Linked DNA regions of Caenorhabditis elegans. The protein of the gene in region 2 purifies or fractionates together with the protein of the main gene of each other region. This does not show direct contact. Each region holds a gene or a part of one and is shown on either strand. Other genes may lie near its edges. The genes, in order: F20C5.5 and C53B4.2.

Region 1 (11,522 bases), 200 kb from region 2:
TTTTACTTTCGTTTTTTCAATTTTTTTTTCTGCGAAGTTCGGTGTTAAACCTCCATTTTGCAATATTAAAAATTTCAATATTGCCCGTTTTGGCTTGAATCTATTAAAATTATGCTGTTTTTTTTTCAGAAAGCACCAAAACATGCCAGATGATATTCCAAAATTGCCACGACACAGAGGAAAGAAAAATCAGCCGAAAGGTTTGAAAAATTTAGAAAAATCTGAAGTTACTTTTTTAATTCTTTAGACACACCTTGGAAACAACAAAAACTGCCTGCTTTACGGCCTCATTATAACATAACTTCAGCAATTCCAGTTACTCTGATAACAGGAGTAGCCACGTTGGCAATGGGAATTGCTCTTTATTTCGGACATAATGGATGTGAGTTTTTAGAGTTTATTATCCCAAAAACAAAAATATCAATTACTCTTTCCTGGTAATAAGTAAGAAAAAGCTAAAGAAAACAAATTTCTTGTCAAAATTTTACATTGTAAACCGATAGCAACAAAAAACAAGTGTCATAAAAACTGTAAGAAAATCGATAATTTTGCTACAATTTCACAAAGCTAAAAAATATTTTTTATTTTACCGTGTTAGTACCGGAATGTTCTGCACTTGAGCCTTACTATTAGTTACACAAAATGGATCAATTTTGAGCAATTTGTTGTGAATCTGACAATAATTAGTCCTATTGATATAGCTTTAGGCCACTCATTCGTGTTCGTAATTTTCGTTTTCCTTGAACTTGTAAAGGTACAGTTTTTGAAAACAGGGATGTAGTCCAAGTAGTCAAATATTGATTCTTGTAGCATTAGAACAAGAGATTGTGTACACGGATTGTGCTCTTTCAAATGGAACACAAGCTTCACGAATTATGAGAACTGAAATGGGAAATCAAACATTTAAATGTGCATATACAATTACTTTGAATGACGATTATACTGTAAGTTGAGTTTTAATTTTTAAATCATCAAAGAAAACATATGTATATTTTTGCGAAGGAAATTTTGGATCTGGTCTTAGGATGAAACGACATTGTAACATTTTGATTAAAGAGCCCTTAGTTGGAAGTGAGTGTATCTGGTAAAAACACAATTCGAAAATATTTAACCAAATATGTATAAAGCCTAGGTTGAACCTGCTCTGCAGTTCCTAATTTTTCACATTATTTTTCTTCAAAATATTACTATGATATTTCAAAGCCCGGGGTACCATCTTAAAATCATCATTTGCAAGTATCACAATTAATGTTCAACATTACAGGGCGAAGTGAAGTTTTATTACGGTCTTTCCAAGTTCTATCAAAACAATCGATTATACTTCAACTCACGAAACGATCAACAGCTACGTGGAAAAGTTACTGAAACTGACGGATGTGATCCATTAGAATATGTGGATGTTAATGGAACTAAAGTTCCCATTGCGCCGTGTGGGAAAGTGGCTGATTCAATGTTTAACGGTGCATTTCAATTGATTGCTTAATTTCAGTATTGCAACATTTTTCATTTTTTATAATACATCTAACTTCAAAATTTGTTTTTTTTTCAGATACCTTCGAATTATTTTATATCAATGATAAAGCCTCAAACGCGGTAACACGGGTTCCATGGACAACTCGTGGAGTACTCGGTGCAACTGAAATGAAAAGAAAATTCAGAAATCCGATTCGAGCGGAAAACCAGACATTATGTGATGTGTTTGCGGTTGAAATGAAATAAGAAAAAAAATAAATTAAACTCCATCTTTTAGGGAACAATGCCTCCGCCATCATGGAGATATCCGATCTGTCAATTGGGACTAAACAGTATTGATCCAGATGTTGGCATTGGTTTCGAGAACATTGATTTTATGGTTTGGATGAAGGTTGCAGCTCTTCCAAAATTCAGAAAACTGTATAGAATACTGAATCGACAAGTTGATATGTTCAGTAATGGATTACCTAAAGGACAATATCAGTTGACCATTAATTACAGTATGTTTATGTTAATGTTGAATTTATGTATTTATGCAAAAAATTTACTGCAAAAGTTCACAATAATTCCACCCAAACCTGCTTAAATATGGAGATGCAAGTTTTTTGTTTCAGATAAACAGTGGCTCCAAAAAACCAATCTTTGTTATAAAACCTCACAAAAATTTCTCGATATTTCTTTATTATGGTTCAAACTTTTGAGAAAAAAGGGAAATTTAGAAAATTCTTTCAAGCGAAATTGTCAAAATTTTTCAAAACCAAATTTGATTTTCCAGATTTATTTTTTGTCGACTTGACAATAGTAAAGAAAAAACAAGTTGAATTTTTCTATATGAATTCTTATAGCTGAACATTTTTGATCAATTTGAAAATAATCAATAGACAATTTTTCTCCATACTACTGATTTTCAGACTATCCAGTGGATATGTATTCGGGCGACAAGTACTTCGTTATAGCCAATGAAAACTGGGTTGGACCCAGGAATCTGTTTCTACCAGTAATCTATTTGGTTGTTGGAACATTCTTACTTCTCGTTACTATTCTCTTCATATTGATTTGGTTAAAACAGAGACTGTCGAGGGTTCATCCAACATGAATTGGAAAAACTAATTGAAAATAGACGGATGAACTTCAAATTTGTTTACAAGAGTTGAAGTCTCAAAATAAGCTGGTAGCATGTATTGTACGGGAACAGATTTGTATACTTTGCTTTGTAAATAAAATAAAATGTTATTATATTAGTCTGTAATTTTATGTATAGTTCAATTTAATTGAAATACATAATACCCCCTTCAGTTTATCAATTAAAGCTCCAACTATCATTCGCTGGTTGAGATTAATTGTCGAGTGAGGGCATCTGAAATGTAAATTTAAAATTACAAAATAAATAATTGTAAGTGCTATCAGATATAACAAATGATCATTTAATTAAGGAGGAAAAACAAAACATTAATTTAAAAAATTTATCAAAAAACAAAAAAAAACGGTCAAATATTTTTTCAAACAAACAAAGTAAAGCTAATTTCTATTAAAGTTGATCTAAATACTGGTTGTGTAGGCATACTATAGTTGATTTCAACGGGAAGAAGGCCAAATCAGCAAGTGTACATTGTGTTCTGAAAAATTGAAATTCAACAGTTGAATATAAGTAGAAACTCTACCTATTGCTAACATTTATTGCAATTCTTCTGTGTTTTGAACAATATCGAGATCGCTCCATCCATCGGATAATTCCGTATGATTTGATGACATCTCATCTACAGCTTCCAATTCTCCAATTATCTGATCCTTCAGTTTCAGCTTAATATCAAACGATTTTTGAATTTCCTGGATATTTGCTTCATAAACTCTCGAGATTTCAGATTTAACTTGTTGAATCTCTTTAAATTGCTCTGAAATCTTCTTCTCAAGAACTCTTTTCTGATAATATAGCTCAGTGATTTCTCGAGTTCTTTCTTTCATAATCATTTCAGTATTCATTTGTTCTTCTTTAACATTTTCTTCAAGTTTTTCAATCTTTCGTACATAATCACAGAAATGATCAACCACCTGCAACCATTGCGGGTCATTTCGCATAGTTTTGAGTCCTCCGGGTTGTTCAAGAATTGCGACAAGACTTTCTGTCTGTTCAAGTTTCAGTTTTTCTAATGTTTGCTCAAGTGGGAATTCTCTGACCTCCTGGTTTGCCTCTTCGGAAGGATCAGAAATTTTTTCAGAATGGAACGTCAAAATTTCTTGTTCCAAATGGGGATATGTTCTACTAGTCCCTTGACTAGAAGTCTCACTAGAGATTTTAAGTGTCAGTTCTCGAACATTACGCTCCAATTTCGGAGAATTTCCAGATTCAGTGCTCACATGACTCTTTAATTTGACAATCTCATCATTCTTATCAAAGATTTGATTTTCCAGTGCAGAGACCTTCACTTGACAATCTTTTGTCTTCCATGACAATTCATCTGCCAACATCTTGATCATGTTCTCATTCGAATCAATCGTTTTTTTCATATCTTTTATCATGTCTTCATCAGTTTTGATTGTAACATTTTGCTTTGAAATTTCACGTTTCACAGAATTCAAAGCAATTTTCAAAGAATTGTTGAAATTTTCGAGCATCAAACTTTCAACACCTTCGGATTTATCATTCTTGGCAACATTCCGATCATTATTTAGTTCAGTTGATATAGAATTGGTATCATCAACTGAGAATACTGTTAAATTCTGGTGTTGAAGTTCCAAAAATTTCTCCATGACTTTTTCAATACTATCCTTCTGATAAACATTGAAGGATTCTTGAAGCATTTTAATCTCTTCATTCTTTTTCTTGAGTTCGGAAAACAGAATATTCTTTCTTTTTTGGAATTCCACTGTCACTAAGAGATAATCATCTTTGTTTTCCAAAGATGTAACCAGCTGCGATGGATTCAAACTTTCCAAGTTTTTCGTAAGATAGTCAACTTCGTCTTCAAGTTTTTGAATGATCTGTTTGTTGTCTTCCATCTTTTTTGTTATAAGTATAGGATCCTTGAAATAAAGAGAAAACGTGACTATGATCTTGTCAATAGTTTCCAGCAAGTGGAAAATGTCATAATAATCTCCATCATTTAATACTTTTAATTTGTCCAAAAGTTGATCCATCAACTTCTCTTGTTTCGGTGTTTCATCACCAATTAATATTCCACCGTAACCGTTAACCGGATATGGCGACAAATCATAAAATTGTTTTTGAAGATCCTCATATTTAGTTTTGAGAATTGAGAAATCTTCATTTCTCATTATCAACAACTTCTTCAATCTTCTAGCTTCTGTCTCTGCTTTTATTTGGAAAATTTCGAATTGCATTTCAGCTAGTATTATCTCATCTTCTTGTTCATCGATTAATTTCTCAACTTCTTCTTTTAATTTTTTGATATTTTGATCTTTTTCTGCCATAGCATTTTGAAAATCTTCTAGTGTTGCAAACTGATATTCAGTGGATGTACTCGTGGATTCTTGAGTCGAAATTTCAGTGTTCTTGTTTATTCGTTTTACTTCGGAGCTTCTGACTATTTTCTCTGGAGTCCAAAACTTGTCTACTTCCAAAAAATGTGTTTTTTTGCTTCTGAAAAACATATATTAAGTAACATCTTTAAGATATTCAGGTGCACTTACATTTTTGAAATATTTGGTGACAAACTTTGAATTATCAATCTGAATTCTTCTGCGGTTCCAGTGAAGCAAGCATAATTCTGAAAATAAAAATTACAGCTTTTGAAACCAATGAAACGAAACAACTATTGTATTTAAAAAATGCTCACTTCAACTCCATTCTCTTCCACCGCTGCTTCTTTTTTCACACTTTTCCAGTTTATCAATTAAAAATTCAAGTTTCTGTTGTTCAGGTGAAGGCTGAGATGCTGTGAACGACATAGTTCTGAAAATAGTTAATTTAAATGTAGCAGAAAAATCTTTTCTAGAAAGTAAAAAAAATCAGTAAAAACAAGTACTAAGAGAAATTGAATAAACCAATCACAATAATGACTTCTTAACAAGCTGAAAAATAATGCAATAGCAAAGAAAAACGAGTAGTTTCGGTAACTCCATAGTACATTATTTCGTTATTGGGATCATCATATCATTTATTGATGAGGATATTATGAGTTAATTCTAATAACCCGAGAGTAAAGGCAAAAAATAGCATGGAGTGAAAAAACGGATCAAGCAAAGAAATCGTGTTAACTTTTATAACATCTAGTTGACACTGTCAGACCAAAAACTTAATAAAATTTTCACTTGTACATAACAGCTAGCTGAAACTGTAATTTAATTTTATATTCCCTCGGTCAATTCTAGCTAAATTAGCGATTCTGAGCTAAGCCTTCATTTCAAAATTAACAAAAAAAATGCAATGAAATTTTCACTTGTACATAACAGCTAGCTGAAACTGTAATTTAATTTTATATTCTCTCGGTCAATTCTAGCTAAATTAGCGATTCTGAGCTAAGACTTCATTTCAAAAATAACAAAAAAAATGAATTGAAATTTTCACTTGTACATAACAGCTAGCTGAAACTGCAATTTAATTTTATATTCCTTCAGTCAATTTCAGCTAAATTAGCAATTTTGAGCTAAGTGTTGTTGTTTCTTAAAACAATGCAAATTTTGATGGTTTTTCGTGTTCAGTGAACAAACAAACAAACAAAAAAATTCTGGTAAATAACCACAAGCTGAAACTGTGAGATAATTTTTTAGTGACCATTGAGTGACTGCTCATAGACAGTGGCTTGGAATTAAGACTAGAATGATTATCTCTCATGATAACATATTATACAGAGAAGTTGGGAAGAATGTAGGTCATTGTAAAGCGACAGACAGGTCGCATTGATCAAAGAGAATATAAGTCGAACTCTTTCGTTTGGTAACTTGAGGGCCAATGTTATTTGCTATTAGGGAAAATTAACATTTAAGGAGCAAAGGATTGCAAACAAAATGCGATAAGATATATGATTATAGTATTTTATCTTTTGTAAGTGTTGCCATAATTTCAGTAACGAAAAAAATAACAAGGCAATTTTAGATGTTAGGAAAATCGAATTTGTCTGACTAGCCAACGAATGTTCTCAATTGAAGTTATTGTTCTTTTTTAAGATGTTTTCATACAAATTAGTCAGTTTTCGAAGCTTCAGCCACACTTATCCGAATTGAGCAATTTCAAAACTATTTTTTGTAAAATAAAATACATCTCCGAAAATTTACATCGAGTTCCCAACAATACTGTATGGATAGAAAATACCTACCAATACTGCACATGAAACGCTCTGAAAATAATCGGAAAGGAAATGAGAACCTTTTAAATATAAAATGAGCACAATAAGTAATACTAACTTTATTGAGAAAGAACATAATTGTTATGAGAATAGTTTTTAAATGAGGTGAGAAACAGAATATCCCTGAGAATAAGTGAAGATACTTGAAAATTTGTGAAATAGTAATAAGTAAAATGTTTTCACATTAGTATAAACAATGACAGAGTCACGCAAAAGTACGGGAAACATATGAAGTTTATAATACAGTGCAGTACAGAAAAGGTACAAAGTTTACAAGAATACAATTGTTTTTTAAAAATAATTTTTTGTTGAAGGCTTAAGGTAATACGATTAAAGAGCTACTTTCTTCCAATACGAAGTTGAATTTAAAATTTAAAAGGAAAAAAGGAAAAAAATTAAAAAGCATATGAAAAATCGGGGCGCATTTTTAGTGCAAAAAATTAGATGGCATTTATTTTATCCCATCCATCTGAATCTTCACTGTGTGTGGATTTATTGTCGTCATCTTGATCGATCATTGTATCATCAGCTTCTCCTTCTTGATTGATAAGAAGACCTTGCAGTTTTTCCGAAAGTTCCGAAATCTTCAAATCCTTCTCTCTCAATGCATCATGCATCTTCTGAATTTCAGCGGATCGTTCGCTATTTTGAATAAGTTCCATCAGACACTCAATTTTGCTATCTTTTTCCATGATTTCTCTTTTATGATTTGCAATCTGTTCTTCTTTTGATTCACATTCTCTCTTTGAATTGGCTGAAATAAAAGAAAATGCTTACAGATGTGTGTAAAACCCCTAGAAAACTTTCACAAGCTTACCTGTCAATACTTCAAATTGCCCCAATAAGTTGTGCTTCCACTCTTCAGTTCGAAGTTTAAGATCTTCAACTGATGTATTAAGCGTGGCTTTTTCCTGCTGAGTGTTTGCAAGTTGCATCTCTAACGCCATGACGGTCGAGTTATGTTGATCCAAAATATGACTGATGTCTTGTCCCACATGTTTTTGGCGTTCTTCTGAAAATTATAGATGGTAATTTTTAATTAATACTTTAATATATAATAGAACAGCTCGTTTTTTCAATCAACTTCATCTGTTTTCTAACCAATGTTGGCCAACTTTCAGTAAAACAATAGCTTACCTTCAAGATCGGATTCCAATTTAGCAATTCTATCTTCCGCTCTTTTGGCACGTCTACACATCTTTCCTGTATTCATATCCGCTGAGCACAGTTCTTTTCTCAACGTACGAATCTTTGCCTTCTTTCTCTCAACATCACCATCGATCTGTTTACGAAGATTCGAAATTGTTTTGTTTTTTCCAAATATTTCTTCTGAATGAATATTTTCCATTTCTTCCTTCTGTTGAATCAACATGCGGCTCTCTTCCTTACACCTCTCAATTTCTTCTGATTGCTTTTTGAGTAACTCCTCCTGATTTTTGATAGTTGCCCGAAGCTCACTACCACATTCTCCAGGTTCCAAAAGTTGCTGCTCAAGTTGAATAATTCGTGCTTCACTCTCTCGAAAATCTTTTTGAAGAATCTCCGTATGTAGAGAGCATTGCTCAATAAGCTTATCTCTCATCACCAATTGTTCCAAAGTTTCCCATTGTTTCTTTTCCAATTGATCGATGTCGATTTTCGCTTGTGCCAATTCAGCTTTCAGGTTGTCCATCATACTTTCCAGTCCAAGTTACTAAAATATCAATTTAGACTCCATGTATTGAGGTAATAAAAAAGGTATTTGAAAAGGTGTAAAACCTTCCAAAAATCACAAGAAGTATTTGAAAAAAATGTAAAAATTTTATAACGACGAGGTTGAAAAAAACACTGAAAAATCAAGTAAAGCCCTGAGAGGAAATAGGTCGAAATGGAATTTTAGAATTATTGAGGAAAAGATTCAAGAATATGATATACAACTTACACGAAGAATTTACAATTTTGAAGAACAAAGGAAAATGAATAAAAATGCAAAATAGTTAATTTGAATATTAAAATAAATAGAATTTGACAGAAAAAATTCAGAAAATTGAAATTACGAATTAAAAAAGCTTAAGCATCGCTCATATGATCCCATCCATCTGATTCTTCACTTTTCAATGATCTACTGCACGAGCCCAAGTTAAACAAAGCCTGAAAATTCGGTTTTCCCACTTTGTCCAGGTCTTCAAAATAGAATTTCAAAACAACAAATCAACGAAAATTCGAGAAAAAAAATTAAAAACTCATTATGTATTAATTGAGAAAAAAAAGGAAAAACAAAAACGAAACAAGATGAAAATTAGATACCAGAGCTTGCTACTTACAAAATAAACAAAAATATTTACATACATGTTGCATCACTAATAAAATGAACTTAACGTATCAGTTAGAACATGGAAAAATGGAAATCAAATGTCATTCATCAGATCCCAACTATTAGATGCTTGACTCTTTGAAGATTATCCGTCAGAATCCCCATCGTATTCGAATTGCTGCAAATCCTCCACTTTTGTTTCTTTGTCCCGATTAATCAGAAGTCCTTGAAGTTGCTCGGTAAGTTTCGAAATTTGCTCATCTTTCTCTTTCAGAGCTTTTTGCATTTTCTGAATTTCTTCATTTTTCAGACAATTCTTCATGCTTGCGATAGGATACGAGGAAGAAGCTAAAACAATTTCTTCAGAGTTAATCAGATATTATTAAAACAAAAAAGCTCACCTTCCAACTCTTCTGAAGAAATAACTCTTCTCTTTTTAGTTCCACTAGAACTATGGGAGTTGGTTTCCATTGCATTATCTTTACTGCTCGCTTTTCCTCTATTTTCTGAGTGGTAGATTAATTCGATGTCAGGATCCCTCTGTTTCATGAATTGAGATGATAAACTTTGTGATTTTTCTGAAAATATAAAAACATACTTTTCTGTTCTTGCATTTTTCCGGTAAACATGTTCATAAAAATTTCTTACCATTTCGAGACTGTGCTTCTCTCAAGCTATTTTCTCTTCTCTCGAGCTCTTTTCTCAATCTTAAAATTTCTTGGTTCTCATGCTTTCAATATACTTTTCAAGCTTCAAAATTCTCTCATCTTTTTCATTCATCAGTATCTTATTCTCTGTTGTAAGCTTCTGGATCTTCCACGTTTCAGATTGTTTCTGAGCTTCAAGACTTTCCTTCAAAATGTCAATTTCACTATCTCTAGCAGGCGATGAACGAAGTTTCAAAATTTCTTTCTGAAGCATTGAACATAGTTCATTTTGATTTGGAAGTTGCTCCAGATAATTCAGCCGTTCATCTTTTTCTGCCAATTTTTTCTCGAGATCTTCGATTCGCTGAGTAAGCTTCAGATGATGCGCTTCCTTAAGTTTGAGCTGATCCTTTGCATTTCTGTAGTTTTCTTCGAGTTTTTTAGTCTTCAATTTATTATTTTCAAAAATCATCTCAATTTGATCATTTGCCTGCCAGAGTTCAGTTTTCAAGCGCTCATGTGCATTTGCAGACTTTTGAAAATCCTGAAATATAGTATTTTAATGAGTAAAGAGCTTATTTTTAAACCTTTAGTATCTTGAACGGATTATCACTGTCAAGAAAACCACTTCCAGGAAAAGCACCAGAGATATATTTTATCAAAAGACGTCGTTCTTGTTTTTCTTTTTGTTTTGCCACCTCACAGCGCAAGCATTTAGAGTTCTTCCCGTTCACTTTTTTGATATTTCCTGAAGAGGGAACGGTGCCTTTACGATGAGCTGTAGAGCTTGAAGCTTCAGAGTTACGATCGTCCATGCTCATCTTCCTGCTGACTGGTAAATTTCTTTAAAAGTGTGTCGAAGTTCTGTAATAGAAACAATATTATATCAGAATGAAAATACAAGAAAAAAAAATTCGATATTCAAACGGCAATGATAACCATCTATTGAAAAAAAGCAAACCACATGCTTTGAAATATAAAGATTTTTTTGAATAAGAAATATTGACATAGAAAATATTCCGCCCATGTTTTTATCGGTTTTATGTAGCTGAAATTTCAAAACCAACTGTGGAATTGTGCACGGGGGAACTTTAAAAAGGTCATCAGTGGGAAAACAATATGAGAAAAAATGTACATTCCTGAGTAAGTTGAATATTTGAAAGGTAGAAATATGGAAAATGAAGAAACAAAAATAATACATCAAAGCAACAAAATTGGATCATTAAAAGAGTGAAACTAACTCAAAAAATATCATCAATTTGGTCCCAACTAGAAGTTTCACTTTTTACCGACTCTCCATCCGATTCGTCGTTATAATCATATTCATATTCTTCTATTGGATCCTCTTGATCCACGCGTTTATTATTCTGATTGGTCTTTTGTTTGAGATCAGAAACTGTTTGATCTTTCTCTTTCAGTTGGGCCAGCGCCCCGTGGATTTTTTTAGCTTCCATAAAGTTACCCGAAACATCCTCTGAAGGTCCTTCTGTATTAATTAACGTGGTAACATCTTTCTTCGTAGTTTCGATTATTTTTGCTAATTCCAAAAACTTTGCATCGTCCAAATCTTCATAGTTGTGGAATAAATCTTTAAAAAGGCAACGATATTGAATTGAAGACTCAAATCTTTACCTTCAGGATCGTCAACCATTCGACGTTTTTTCGGTCTACCAGATGGGCCTGGGGCTTCTGAAAAAAAAAGATTGTTAAAAATTGGATATCAAAAAGTCATTTCTGTAATTTGAATTAAAAAATTGTCTAATTTTTTAAGAAAATTTTATGAATTTTAATTAGACTTGCAATTCA
Region 2 (11,285 bases):
TTAAATTTTGCAAAAATAAAAGAAATTTCTGAATTAAATTTGAATTCCCGCCCAATTGAGTGGTTTAGTTTCGAAATTTTTGCGTTTTCTGGCTTAATTCATCAGCTTTTGTTGATTTTTTCTTTTATATTCGATTTCTTCCTTCCGAGTTATCAAGTTTTCTTTACGAAAAAATATGTTTAAAAACTGACAAACGGTATCTAAACCCAATTATTAAGCAAAAAATCAAGAAAACATATAAATTTAGCCAGAAAACGCAAAGATCTCAAATAAAGTTATTTATTTGCGCGAGAATTTAAATTTAATTCATCCGTTTCTTTTATTTTTGTAAAATTGAAAACATTATTCAAGTTTTTTCCAATTATTCAAAATTATATTCAATCTTTATCGTCTATTTTCTATATTTGAAACCAAAATCCCACATCGACTCTACTCCACCCTTAAACTCCACGAAAGTGGAGGTATTTTTGTTTGAACTTTTTTTAAAAATGGATACTTTTAAAAAAATTATGTACCTTGGATCCTTTTCGGAGTATCCACGTCTTTCTTTCGAAAACTTCTCGAATTGTAGTGGTCGTCCATTTGGTCTGCTCCGTCCCAAATGTACATCGACTCATCGATTTGGAGTCCAGGACGTAGTCTTCTGATTGATGCTGAAATTATCTGAATCACATAAGAGAAGCATTATGAAAATTATCGGTTTTTCACATACTTTTTCAAAGAAACATGTATTTCTAAAACGAATTCGTCAATAACCCTCAAATTTTGCTTTTTTTGTGAAAATTTAACTTATCTTTGCTTGATCTTTCCCAGTGGACTTATCGGAAAAGCATTTTTTTATTGAATAAGATTATGGAATAAGAAACTCACTTTAAATAAGAGTCGATTGAACTTTGTTGAAATTCCGTGGATTTTTGTCGATTCGGAGCTGGCATCCGACGCTTCTTGGCACTAATCGCTCAATTTTCTGAAAAGCTAATATTTGTACGGTCACAATTCACATTTAAAACTAAAATATTACCGTTTTTCAAAGAAGTCCTTGAAAACTGAAGCGAATTTCCAATATCGCTGTGTTCATCCATCGTCTCAGCTGCTCGACACGGCGGTCGGTGACTGTTCGGCAATCTTAAATTTTTGAATTATTTTAACATTTATAAGAATTTAAATAACAACAAAGTATAATTTCTTGTGTTAACTTGCGAAAAACAGTTGAAAAATTGAGAAAAAGAACGAACATCCGATTTTCATAACAAAAACTTCGATAATTGCGAAAGAATGACCGAATAGTACGAATTTTATGATAAATATGAGAAAACCAAAAATTATCGACATTTTTTGTCATGAAAATCGCATAAAATACAAGCGAAATTGTTTTAAAACATTGAAAAAAGATGAGAAAACGGAAAAATCGTTTAAAAAAAATGAAAATGTAAACAACGCGCACCCCGTAATTTCGGAGTATCGTTGCCTCTTTGGCAGCCAAGTCGTAGGGTCGATGCTAAAAGATAGTTCTATACTCTATAATAAGGCAACTTGCTCATTAAAATTTACAGAAACAATACATTTTAGTTACTTCCACAATATCGAAGAAGTTTTTGAGAATTTTTTCAAAAAAAATTGTTTTTTCGGTAGAATTTTCAATTATGAAATTCGAATCATAAGGGTCCCCCCTTATGGTTGAAAAAATTTTTCACCTAAAATATTTTTATAGAAAATTTTTCAAAAAGTGTTTATATTTATAGAAAAAGACAAATTTGTTAGTTTCCACAAGTCTGAACATTCATATTACATTTTCAGTTGAACAAACATCTAAATTAGAGTTGATTGAGCATATAACAGTCTTACTTTCAGAGACTTATAACTTGGTTGGCGTTTGAATTAATAAAATGTGGTCAACTAGAGAGTTTTTGACAATAATACAAAGAACATTTTGTCAGTTGGTATCTTTTTGTTATCTTTAGTGATTGTCGAGATGTGAGCCCCAAAAGATGGCCAAAATATTCTAGATCTGTGCTCAACTTTATCTCGGTTCTCGATAGAGATGAAAAAATGATTACAGCTATCAAAATGTTTATTGCTTTAAGCTTAAAAAGGTTGTAGTTGGTGACTTTTTGATATATCGTCTTTTGAAATTGATACAACCGTTTTAAGACAGGAGGTTTTATTGTTCAGAGCTCCAAGGAAAGTCTGTTTCAGTGATCGAGAGCACCGAATTTGTCAAGAAAATGCATAAAACCAACAAAATTGACATATTTCTACAATAACTGATAAATATTTGATAATATTTGAAAAAAAAATTTTTGATTTTTTCGAAAAGAAAGTTCAAAGGGTCTGCTTATATCTCCGTGGAAAAAATTATTATGATTAAGTGATTAACTACAAAGTTGTTTATTTTAATTTAGAGAACAATTTTGCAGTTGACCGTTTGTTGCCAAAAAATTTGTTGGTTGAGATATGAACGGAAAAAGAAGAAGAAAATACAAGCATGAAGGTGCCCAACTTTACACAACTTTATCTCGACCAACAAATTTTTTGACAAAAACCGGTCAACTACAAAGTTGTTTTCTAAATTAGGATAAACAACTTTGTAGTTAATCACTTGATCATGAACATTTTTTCCGCGGAGATATAAGCATCCGAAGTGAATACGTTTTTTGAGCATAGTGGTTCTATTATACCTCAATTTTGGATCTCAAACTTGTTTTTGAACATTCAAATGTAAGAAACATCACATTTTGACGGTTCTATAACATCTGGTCAGTTTTTAGAAAGGTTTCGAAAAAAAATGTTTTTCGATATTTTGAAAAAAAAATGCAAAGGGTCCCCCCTTACAAAATTTTTTTGAAATTTATCCAAAAATTTTTTTTTTCGGAAACTTTTTAAAAACTGACAAGATGTTGTAGAATCGCCAAAATTTGATGTTTCTTTTATTTGAATGCTCTAAAACGGGTTTGAGATCTGAAGTTCAATTTTGTAGTTGATTCTTCTCCCTGAAAAAAATTGGTGATTGAGATAAATTTGTGTTGAGTGCAGCGAGTTTATGCTAGTATTTTCTTCTTCTTTTTCCGTTCATATCTCAACCAACAAATTTTTTGGCAACAAACGGTCAACTGCAAAATTGTTCTCTAAATTAAAATAAACAACTTTGTAGTTAATCACTTAATCATAAAAATTTTTTCCACGGAGATATAAACAGACCCTTTGAACTTTCTTTTCGAAAAAATCAAAAAAATTTTTTTTCAAATATTATCAAATATTTATCAGTTATTGTAGAAATATGTCAATTTTGTTGGTTTTATGCATTTTCTTGACAAATTCGGTGCTCTCGATCACTGAAACAGACTTTCCTTGGAGCTCTGAACAATAAAACCTCCTGTCTTAAAACGGTTGTATCAATTTCAAAAGACGATATATCAAAAAGTCACCAACTACAACCTTTTTAAGCTTAAAGCAATAAACATTTTGATAGTTGTAATCATTTTTTCATCTCTATCGAGAACCGAGATAAAGTTGAGCACAGATCTAGAATATTTTGGCCATCTTTTGGGGCTCACATCTCGACAGTCACTAAAGATAACAAAAATATACCAACTGACAAAATGTTCTTTGTATTATTGTCAACAACTCTTTAGTTGACCACATTTCATTAATTCAAACGCCAACCAAGTTATAAGTCTCTGAACGTAAGACGGTTATATAACATCTTCTCTCAAAATTTATCTAGGGAATGCGTCTGTACATAGTGCTACTCACAATATTTCCATGTGAGTATTGCATAAAATATCTACAACAAAGAATCAAATACATATTCCCAGAAATCCTGTTTTTGGGTCATTAGGATGTAAATGTAAACATTAGAAGAAACATATGAGACGATATGATGTCGTAAAACAATAACGAGAGGAAGGTATTTACAACCTACAGACCCAAAAACATCTCTTATATCTAGAATATATCTGAATTTTGTCTTGTTGTCATAGACATAACCATTCCCAATAAAATATAGACCAAAACGAACTATTTTTCCGAGAATTGTAGACATTTGCCGTTATCGAAAACTAGCCCACTACAAAAATCAAATTAAAAATTTTTCCGAAAAAAATTATTTTCATCAATTTTTCCATTTCAGTGTTAACATTTCACAAGTCAACAACTTTAGTCATCATTCGCATATTATTCGCATGTTTCCGGTCCGTTCAGTTATCGCTCGCTTATTTTTCGCCTATCTGCGCATAAAATTTGCAAGACAAAAATTTCACTCATCGCTCACCTATTCTTCGCCTGTGCGCGGCAGTAAACCTGTCGCTCGCTTATTATTCGTCTGTTAGCGGCCCTTCACCTATTTTTGACCTGTTATTCGCTTATGGCGGCTTACCTGTGTGGCCCAGTGGTTAGTGCGTATGACTGCAGAAATTTTGGTAGTTGGTTCAATTCTACCAAGTGATAAATTTTTTTGTTTTTTGTGAGTAATCGGGATTCGAATAGAAATACTCGATTTTATACAAAATATGGGTACGTCTCCCCTAATATAAAGCCTCTTCAAACTTCAATCAATCAAAACTCAGCTTTAACTGATTCATCGGGTGCATCTGTTTTTGGTCAAACCGAACTCAAAAATTAAGAAGACTCCCATTGACCTACTGAAATTTTCACAAACCCTCTAACAGGTTCGAGGCGAAGCCGTGAACCTACGCCCGGCAAGGGGACTCGCCTTACACCCCCTACAACTGGCGGGCCCGCAGGGCCCGCTAGTCTCTGAATTAAAAATTTCCAACTGACAAAGGATTTAGTATTTAATTTCATATAGTTAAACAATTTGGGAAATATTTGATCTAAATATTTGATGAATAATCAAAGTTGTTCACTCAGGTGCAAGACTAATAGAAGAATACCGTTTTCTGGATGATCAGTTAAAAACGAAAAATTCAAAATCAACTGGCCCTAATTTCAAACAAGTTTTTATAATTTACTTTATTTTAAATTTCAGAATCCTCACTACAACACATATTCAACTCCACTTATAATGACATCAGTGGAGACTGCCGAATCTACAGTAACCACAAGAACTGGATCAGATGATTATGCTCATCACAGAGATTCAATGCTCTCCGAACCATCAACAGGAACAACAACTCGTCATTTAAAAGGACTTGGACCACAAGGTTCACTTGTTTTCGAAGATGATCCATCATCACTGACAAGCCTTCGAATGTAGATTTTTCCTTTTTCTTTTTCAATTTATTATGCGTTCACAGAAACTGGTATTTCTCTTTGAATGCACAATATTTTCCCCATTTCATGTACTTCATTTTCTACAATCAATCTTGATTTTCCATATTCCCCAAGTTTTTAATTTCCTCCCGGTCATTTCTCATTCTCACATCCTTTGGGTCTCATTACGAAAAAAACACCGATAATTGTCAAAAAGATTATCACTTGGATCATATTGACTCCTCTCGTTCATTGTCTATTAATGTGACCGGTTACCTGTATTTGTACATAGAATAGGCACTTTCAACCAATCATTTGATTACTTGTATTACTTTCAGATCACACAGCTTTTATCTTGTTTTTATTCAGGCTTTTCAAGTGGAAAAGTTCTCGAATTATTTTTATTTTATGTACGGTTTTACGAACGTTTTGAATAAAATATTGTTGAAACGATGAAACAATTCAAGAGTAATTACCGAAATTGCATGCTTCATCTTGCCCGCGTATTTCTCCGATAAATGAGTAATTTCTTCATTTTTAAAAAGTTTAGGAAAAAAAATCCTAAACTTTTTAAAAATGAAGAAATTACTCATTTATCGGAGAAATACGCGGGCAAGATGAAGCATGTCTAATTTTTAATTTTTCATAAAGTTAGTACAAACGGTGAAAGTTAGTAATGAAAGTTAAAACTAATCTTTAAAAAATGCCCGTTTCCGACAACTTTTATTGCTTACGAGTCCTCGTGGTAACGTTTGGGAATTCATCTCGCGCCCTTTTGGAATTTTGGAAAGTTTTCGGTCAACCCATTTCCTGAAGTAGAAATAAACTACCTGGAAGCTCTCAATAAATTAATGTTCTGTTTTATGGGTTTTCTGGAGAAACAACGCCCCTTTTCTCCCATGAACATGGGAAATTAGCTACAACCAATATAAATTATAAAAACTCCGTTCCCATTCAGACACAACATACCGTTAACAAAAATCCCGTGATCATCAATAATTTTCTAGATGTTTTAGATTTAAATTTAAAAAGATCACGTGGTTTAAACTTATTATGTATCAAGCGGAAGCCTCGTGGAAATTTAAAAAAATCAATTTTTTGAATCATTTCTATTCAGAAGACTCCCGCAAAATGGACGAAAAGGGAAAAGCAAAAGTGAGTCAAGAATATTATGATGTGCTCTCCCATATTTAATATTTCCAGAGATTCGTGAGCAAATCTAGACAATCTAGGCATAAACATGGAAGTTCTGTAGTTGTGAGTTTAATTTGCACAAATAAAAATGTTCACAGTTTAAATAAACTTCGAAATATAGAAGTCGAAAGCAAAGTCAGTATCTCGAAAAATGAGAAGGACCAAACAACCAGTAGTGCAACCTGTAGTGCAAAAAGCTGCGGTATTATCCCCTCCAGATAAAAAAGAGAAAGAAAATAAAAAGGACGAAAAGAAAGATGAAAAAAAGGAAGAAAAAAAGGAAGAGAAAAAGGAAGAAAAAGGAGAAGGAGAAAAGAAAGACGAGAAAAAAGATTCGAGTGCGCCATTGAAGAAACTGTCAGAAGAGAAAAAGAAAAGTTCTCGAGCAAGAGGAAAAGAGAATATGGGTCCAGGATCAGATAGTGATTTAGATGGAGATTTAGGAATGAAAAAGAGTAACAGTGAGTTACTCTATCGATTTTTAGTTTTCAATCTAATGATTTCAGTTGTACTACCAAATCAAAAGGGAAAGCCCCAGAAAGTATCAATCAAAACTCGTGACGTAGATCAGAAGGAAATGGAAAAACTTTTGAAAAAATTGAAAGAAAACAAATCTCAATCGATAAAAGCTACATCCCCTCTTGACGATAAATCCAAAATGTTTATGGATCGAATTGTTAAAAAGCCGTATCTTTCTAAATACACCACTAAAGAGAAACTGACTCTTTTAACTGATGATGGAACAGTTGATGACATATTCAAAGAATCAAAAGTTAAAAAAGACAACTCAGCAACAATTGTTCCTGTGGAAGACTCGTATGATTATGTGCCAAAATTGTCGGTTGTAGAGAAGATGTCGGATCAGAATATCTACATAAAGGGAGAGACTGATTATGTCCCATTTTGGGCAGCATATGTTGAACCAAATGAAGATGATACCGTAAGTTATTTTTTGAGTGTGATGTTGCAAAAACCACATTTTTCTGAACAATTTGAGTACCGTGTGACTTCATAAAATAACTGGTGAAATTTTCAGAAAGACGTGGAACCGCCCATATCAGTTGGAAGTGATCATGTCGAATCATTTCATGAAGGGAAACTTACACTCAAAACTATCAAATCCGCGAAACTGGTGCTTGACGAATATCAGCCATCTTGTCTTTTCATGAAACTTGACGAAAAGTTCTTTCATCCACATCTCGTTTTTTCAAATACCGTTCGTTCACTTATTAATGTGCAAGGACCGGCTATGGAGAAATTGCAACCGATAAAATCTAGCTCAAAAAATGAAGATGACGAGGGAGAAAGGGAAGAGGCAACTCAATTAGAAGGAAATAATGTAACAATGGCCGAAAATATTTCTAGAATTTTTAGTTACGAGGTAGCCGATTTCATTCTCCTGGTATGAATCTATGTTTTATTTTTTCAGAGATCCCGTCCAATTCTTTCTGCTCGAGAAGCAAAAGAACGTAATCAGACATTGCATGTATCTTCTCCAAAATCGATTTCTCAAAAGCCACCAACAACAAACGTCGAGATGGAAGATGAAGTATTCGATTGATTTCCATATTTTAGAACTGTTTTATTTATTTTCAAGATTAGTATCACTGATAAATCACTTTTAAAAATACTTTGTTTTTTTTATTAGCACTGCCAAACCTGACTGAACAGTTCCAGTTCGTCCGGTTTTCTCTCAGATTTTGAAACGCAAATAAAAAAATTAAAAAAGGTTATCGGACGGAAATCGGACGTCTTGTGCGCTGAAATATGATAAGATATATCAATAAAATGCATGACTAATTGTTTTTAATTAAAATATTTTGGTATATGGATGAGTTAATTATTTTTGTTAAAGGTGCCTTTAAAAACACTATTTACAACTGTTCAAACCTGAAAAACACAATGAATACTTACTTTAGTCCGGTACTCTGCATTGCCAAGGCAGTTTTGTCATGTGAAACCAGAATAAATTACTGACTTTGCACGGACATTTTGTTTAAAAACAGTTTTTGTTTTATTGGAATTTTTACTGTTTCGTTGAATTATATTTTAAAAAACACACATTTATAAATTGGAGGAGATAATATCTAGGATATGTCAGGTACGGATAATTTTTGTTTAATGTTTCACTATTTAGTTTAAACATTTTAATGTTATGGTAATTCTGTAACTTTTAGATTGTCTATATTTTAGGGTCATGGCGTTTGGATATTACTGTAATGGTGTTATATCAAATAACACTAATCTTCTCAGCTCAGCTGATATTTGTAATTTTTCTAGACTTTATGCCTTCCACGTATTGTACAGATGGTAAGAATAGCTGATTTTAAAAATTTTAAATGAATTTTTCAGACAATTTTTGCTACAAACTACAAAGTAAATGCTTGATGGATTATGACCATAATGCTCAGAATTTATGTCCGGTCAATATGACCGAGAATGCAGTTTGTTTGAAAAAAACTTTACTCATAAAAATCTAATTTTACAGAGCAAGTGCATTGCTGATCACAGTAGATTGTTTTTTCGAAGTGCACAATTTGAATATCAACAAGATTGTACAGGCCTAAATGGGTGATTTTCAATTTTCATTCAAATTCATCAAAATATATTTGGTTTCTGGTTGAGATTTCAATTGTGAAAATCTGAAATCCTCTTTTTTGAATTAAAAAAAAACTTTAATTATAACAATTTTTAATGTATACATAGATTTTCTCTCTCCACCGCTACATTTATTGGAACTTTACTTGGAAACATTGCACTTGGATTCCTGGCAGATAAATATGGCCGTCGAACAATTTATCTATCATCTCTACTTTTTGGAATTCCATGTGTTGTTCTGTCAGCTGCAATCACAAACATATATTCATTTTACATATTTCGTATTTTAATTGGAATTTCTGTGTCTGGAACGCTTACTGTTGGATGGACGTATGCCACAGAAATGATATCACCTAATCGAAGATTAAGAATTTTGGCATTTTCCAATTGGGTAACTTATGTGATACTTTCAATAGAGTTTTCAATTTTCGCGCTATAAAAACAATTTTGACAATTTTTAAAGAAGTTAAACAATTAAAAATTTTTGGTGCTTCTCTACCTTTAAAAGACGTGTTTTAATCAGTGAAAATTATTTCAATTGTAAATTATTTTAGCCAAACGCTCGAATGATTCAAGTTGGCCTTGCATACATATCTCAAGAATGGAAGACTGCAACTTATATTTGTGCAGCAGTTTCATGTTTATCTCTTCCAATCCTTATTTATCTCCCAGAAAGTCCAATTTGGTTGGATCAAAAACAAAAATACAAAAATGCATCAAAAGCCAGAAAACGTTTGCGAAAAATTGGAAAGTTTTATTCAAACGAACACAGTACTGTCGTAGCAAATAGAAAGTTCACGCCAACGAGAATTCTGAAAGATCCGAAGCTCCGAAACAGTTTCTTTATGATTATTTTTATGTAATTAACTTTGAATGATAGTAGGTAATATGTTTTTTCAGGTATTTCTATGTTGGGTTAGCAGTTTATATCACAGATTTAAATGGAGCAGATATGACAAAAAACTTATATTTGGGACAGTTTTTGTCCGGTTTAGTACTCTCAATCGCTCAATTTGTAAGTTTATTTAATCATTTATTCTTTATGATCCCATTTTTTCAGATAATTGGTATGACAGAGCCATATTTAACAGGATTAGGCCGCCGAGTTCTCTTTCTTATCGCTCAATTTATTGCTATGCTGTGTTACATTTGTATTTTGATATGTCTTTATTTAAATTGGAAGGGCTCATTCTTATATCTTTCTGCCTATACATTAGCTTATGCTACTCAATCTCTTTGTCTGGAAGCTGCATATCTTTCTCTTGTGGAACTTATGCCAACTGATGTTAGAGCCACTGCAGGATCAACTGCCAACATTTGTATGAAAATTGGAACTATTTTGGCAACCTTAACGGTAAATTAATTATATTCATTTCACGGAGATGTGAGCAGAAAAGTTTTAGAAGCCGTTGAAGTTTGCATATGAACCATCACTATTCTTCATTAATTTGTCAATATGTACGATTGGAATGATTCTTGTGTTTTTCAAGTTAGAGGTATACAGTTTTAAATGTTCTAGAACTACAAAAAACTAAATAGTCGACTTCTTGAAAACTGTAAATAATACTTTTCAGGAATCACGAGAAGCTGATATGAAAATGATTGGACAAACGAATGATAACATAGCTTCAGCTCACAATGAAGAAGAAATGCCAAACCAGACAATACAATTAAAAAATTATTCAAATAATTAATTCTTTGACAGCGAAATTGAGTAATAGGCGAACTTTATTATAAGTCTTACACCCCCATAGCTCCATTTGCATGTCTCATCGCTGTCTTTAAGTTAAACTTTTTTTTTGAAAAAATCATTTCAATCATTCAAAATACGTGTCAAGGCGTCTCTTCTTTTAAATATTTTAAAAGTCAACTAATTTGTGATAAACTCAAAGAGAATCGAGATATGAGCTGTCAAAGTAGATCAACTTGAAAAAAGAAGTTGGTGCATACCAGTTGTACTTTTTGTGAAGTTTACTACTAGTTAATATAAAAAAATAAAAATTGACATAGATTTATTAAAATTATCACAGTTCGAATCGATCACAGTTCAAGATCATTAAAATATTCTATTCGGTACTACACTCTAAACTCAATTAATCCGTTTTGTGTTTCTTAATGAGATTCTCGTCGACCGGCGACACAACCATAAATGATATTGCTAAAAGAGATCCAACAATTCCAAGAAGAGTCAGTGATTGGAATCCATAGTTTTGGAGAAGATAACCAGCAAAAAGTGGAGAGAAAGTACGAACAAGAGAGTTTAAAGATGTGGCCGTGCCCAG

Evidence for each region.
Region 1: the proteins of C53B4.2 (region 2) and F20C5.5 fractionate together in Caenorhabditis elegans (co-fractionation; one large-scale study listed by BioGRID). This does not show direct contact.

Annotation. Positions count from the first base shown.
Region 1 is NC_003282.8:8,764,738-8,776,259, forward strand, and holds F20C5.5 (PACT_coil_coil domain-containing protein), read right to left. Parts: upstream 4,903-11,522; coding exon 3,148-4,902; downstream 1-3,147. Other genes in the region: cdc-50.B (Cell cycle control protein 50A), read left to right, coding at 143-200, 248-382, 811-944, 1,265-1,460, 1,550-1,704, 1,751-1,973, 2,385-2,569; F20C5.6 (ELKS/RAB6-interacting/CAST family member 2), read right to left, coding at 7,217-7,530, 7,594-7,788, 7,914-8,451; C33D9.6 (Protein CASP), read right to left, coding at 10,958-11,304, 11,349-11,405.
Region 2 is NC_003282.8:8,959,869-8,971,153, forward strand, and holds C53B4.2 (DUF4776 domain-containing protein), read left to right. Parts: upstream 1-6,314; 5' UTR 6,315-6,342; coding exon 6,343-6,366; intron 6,367-6,414; coding exon 6,415-6,468; intron 6,469-6,526; coding exon 6,527-6,866; intron 6,867-6,911; coding exon 6,912-7,345; intron 7,346-7,441; coding exon 7,442-7,786; intron 7,787-7,834; coding exon 7,835-7,966; 3' UTR 7,967-8,130; downstream 8,131-11,285. Other genes in the region: tpra-1 (Transmembrane protein adipocyte-associated 1 homolog), read left to right, coding at 4,988-5,215; suex-2 (Major facilitator superfamily (MFS) profile domain-containing protein), read left to right, coding at 8,500-8,506, 8,599-8,715, 8,758-8,849, 8,894-8,976, 9,112-9,394, 9,558-9,862, 9,904-10,018, 10,064-10,357 and 2 more; C53B4.3 (Major facilitator superfamily (MFS) profile domain-containing protein), read right to left, coding at 11,097-11,285.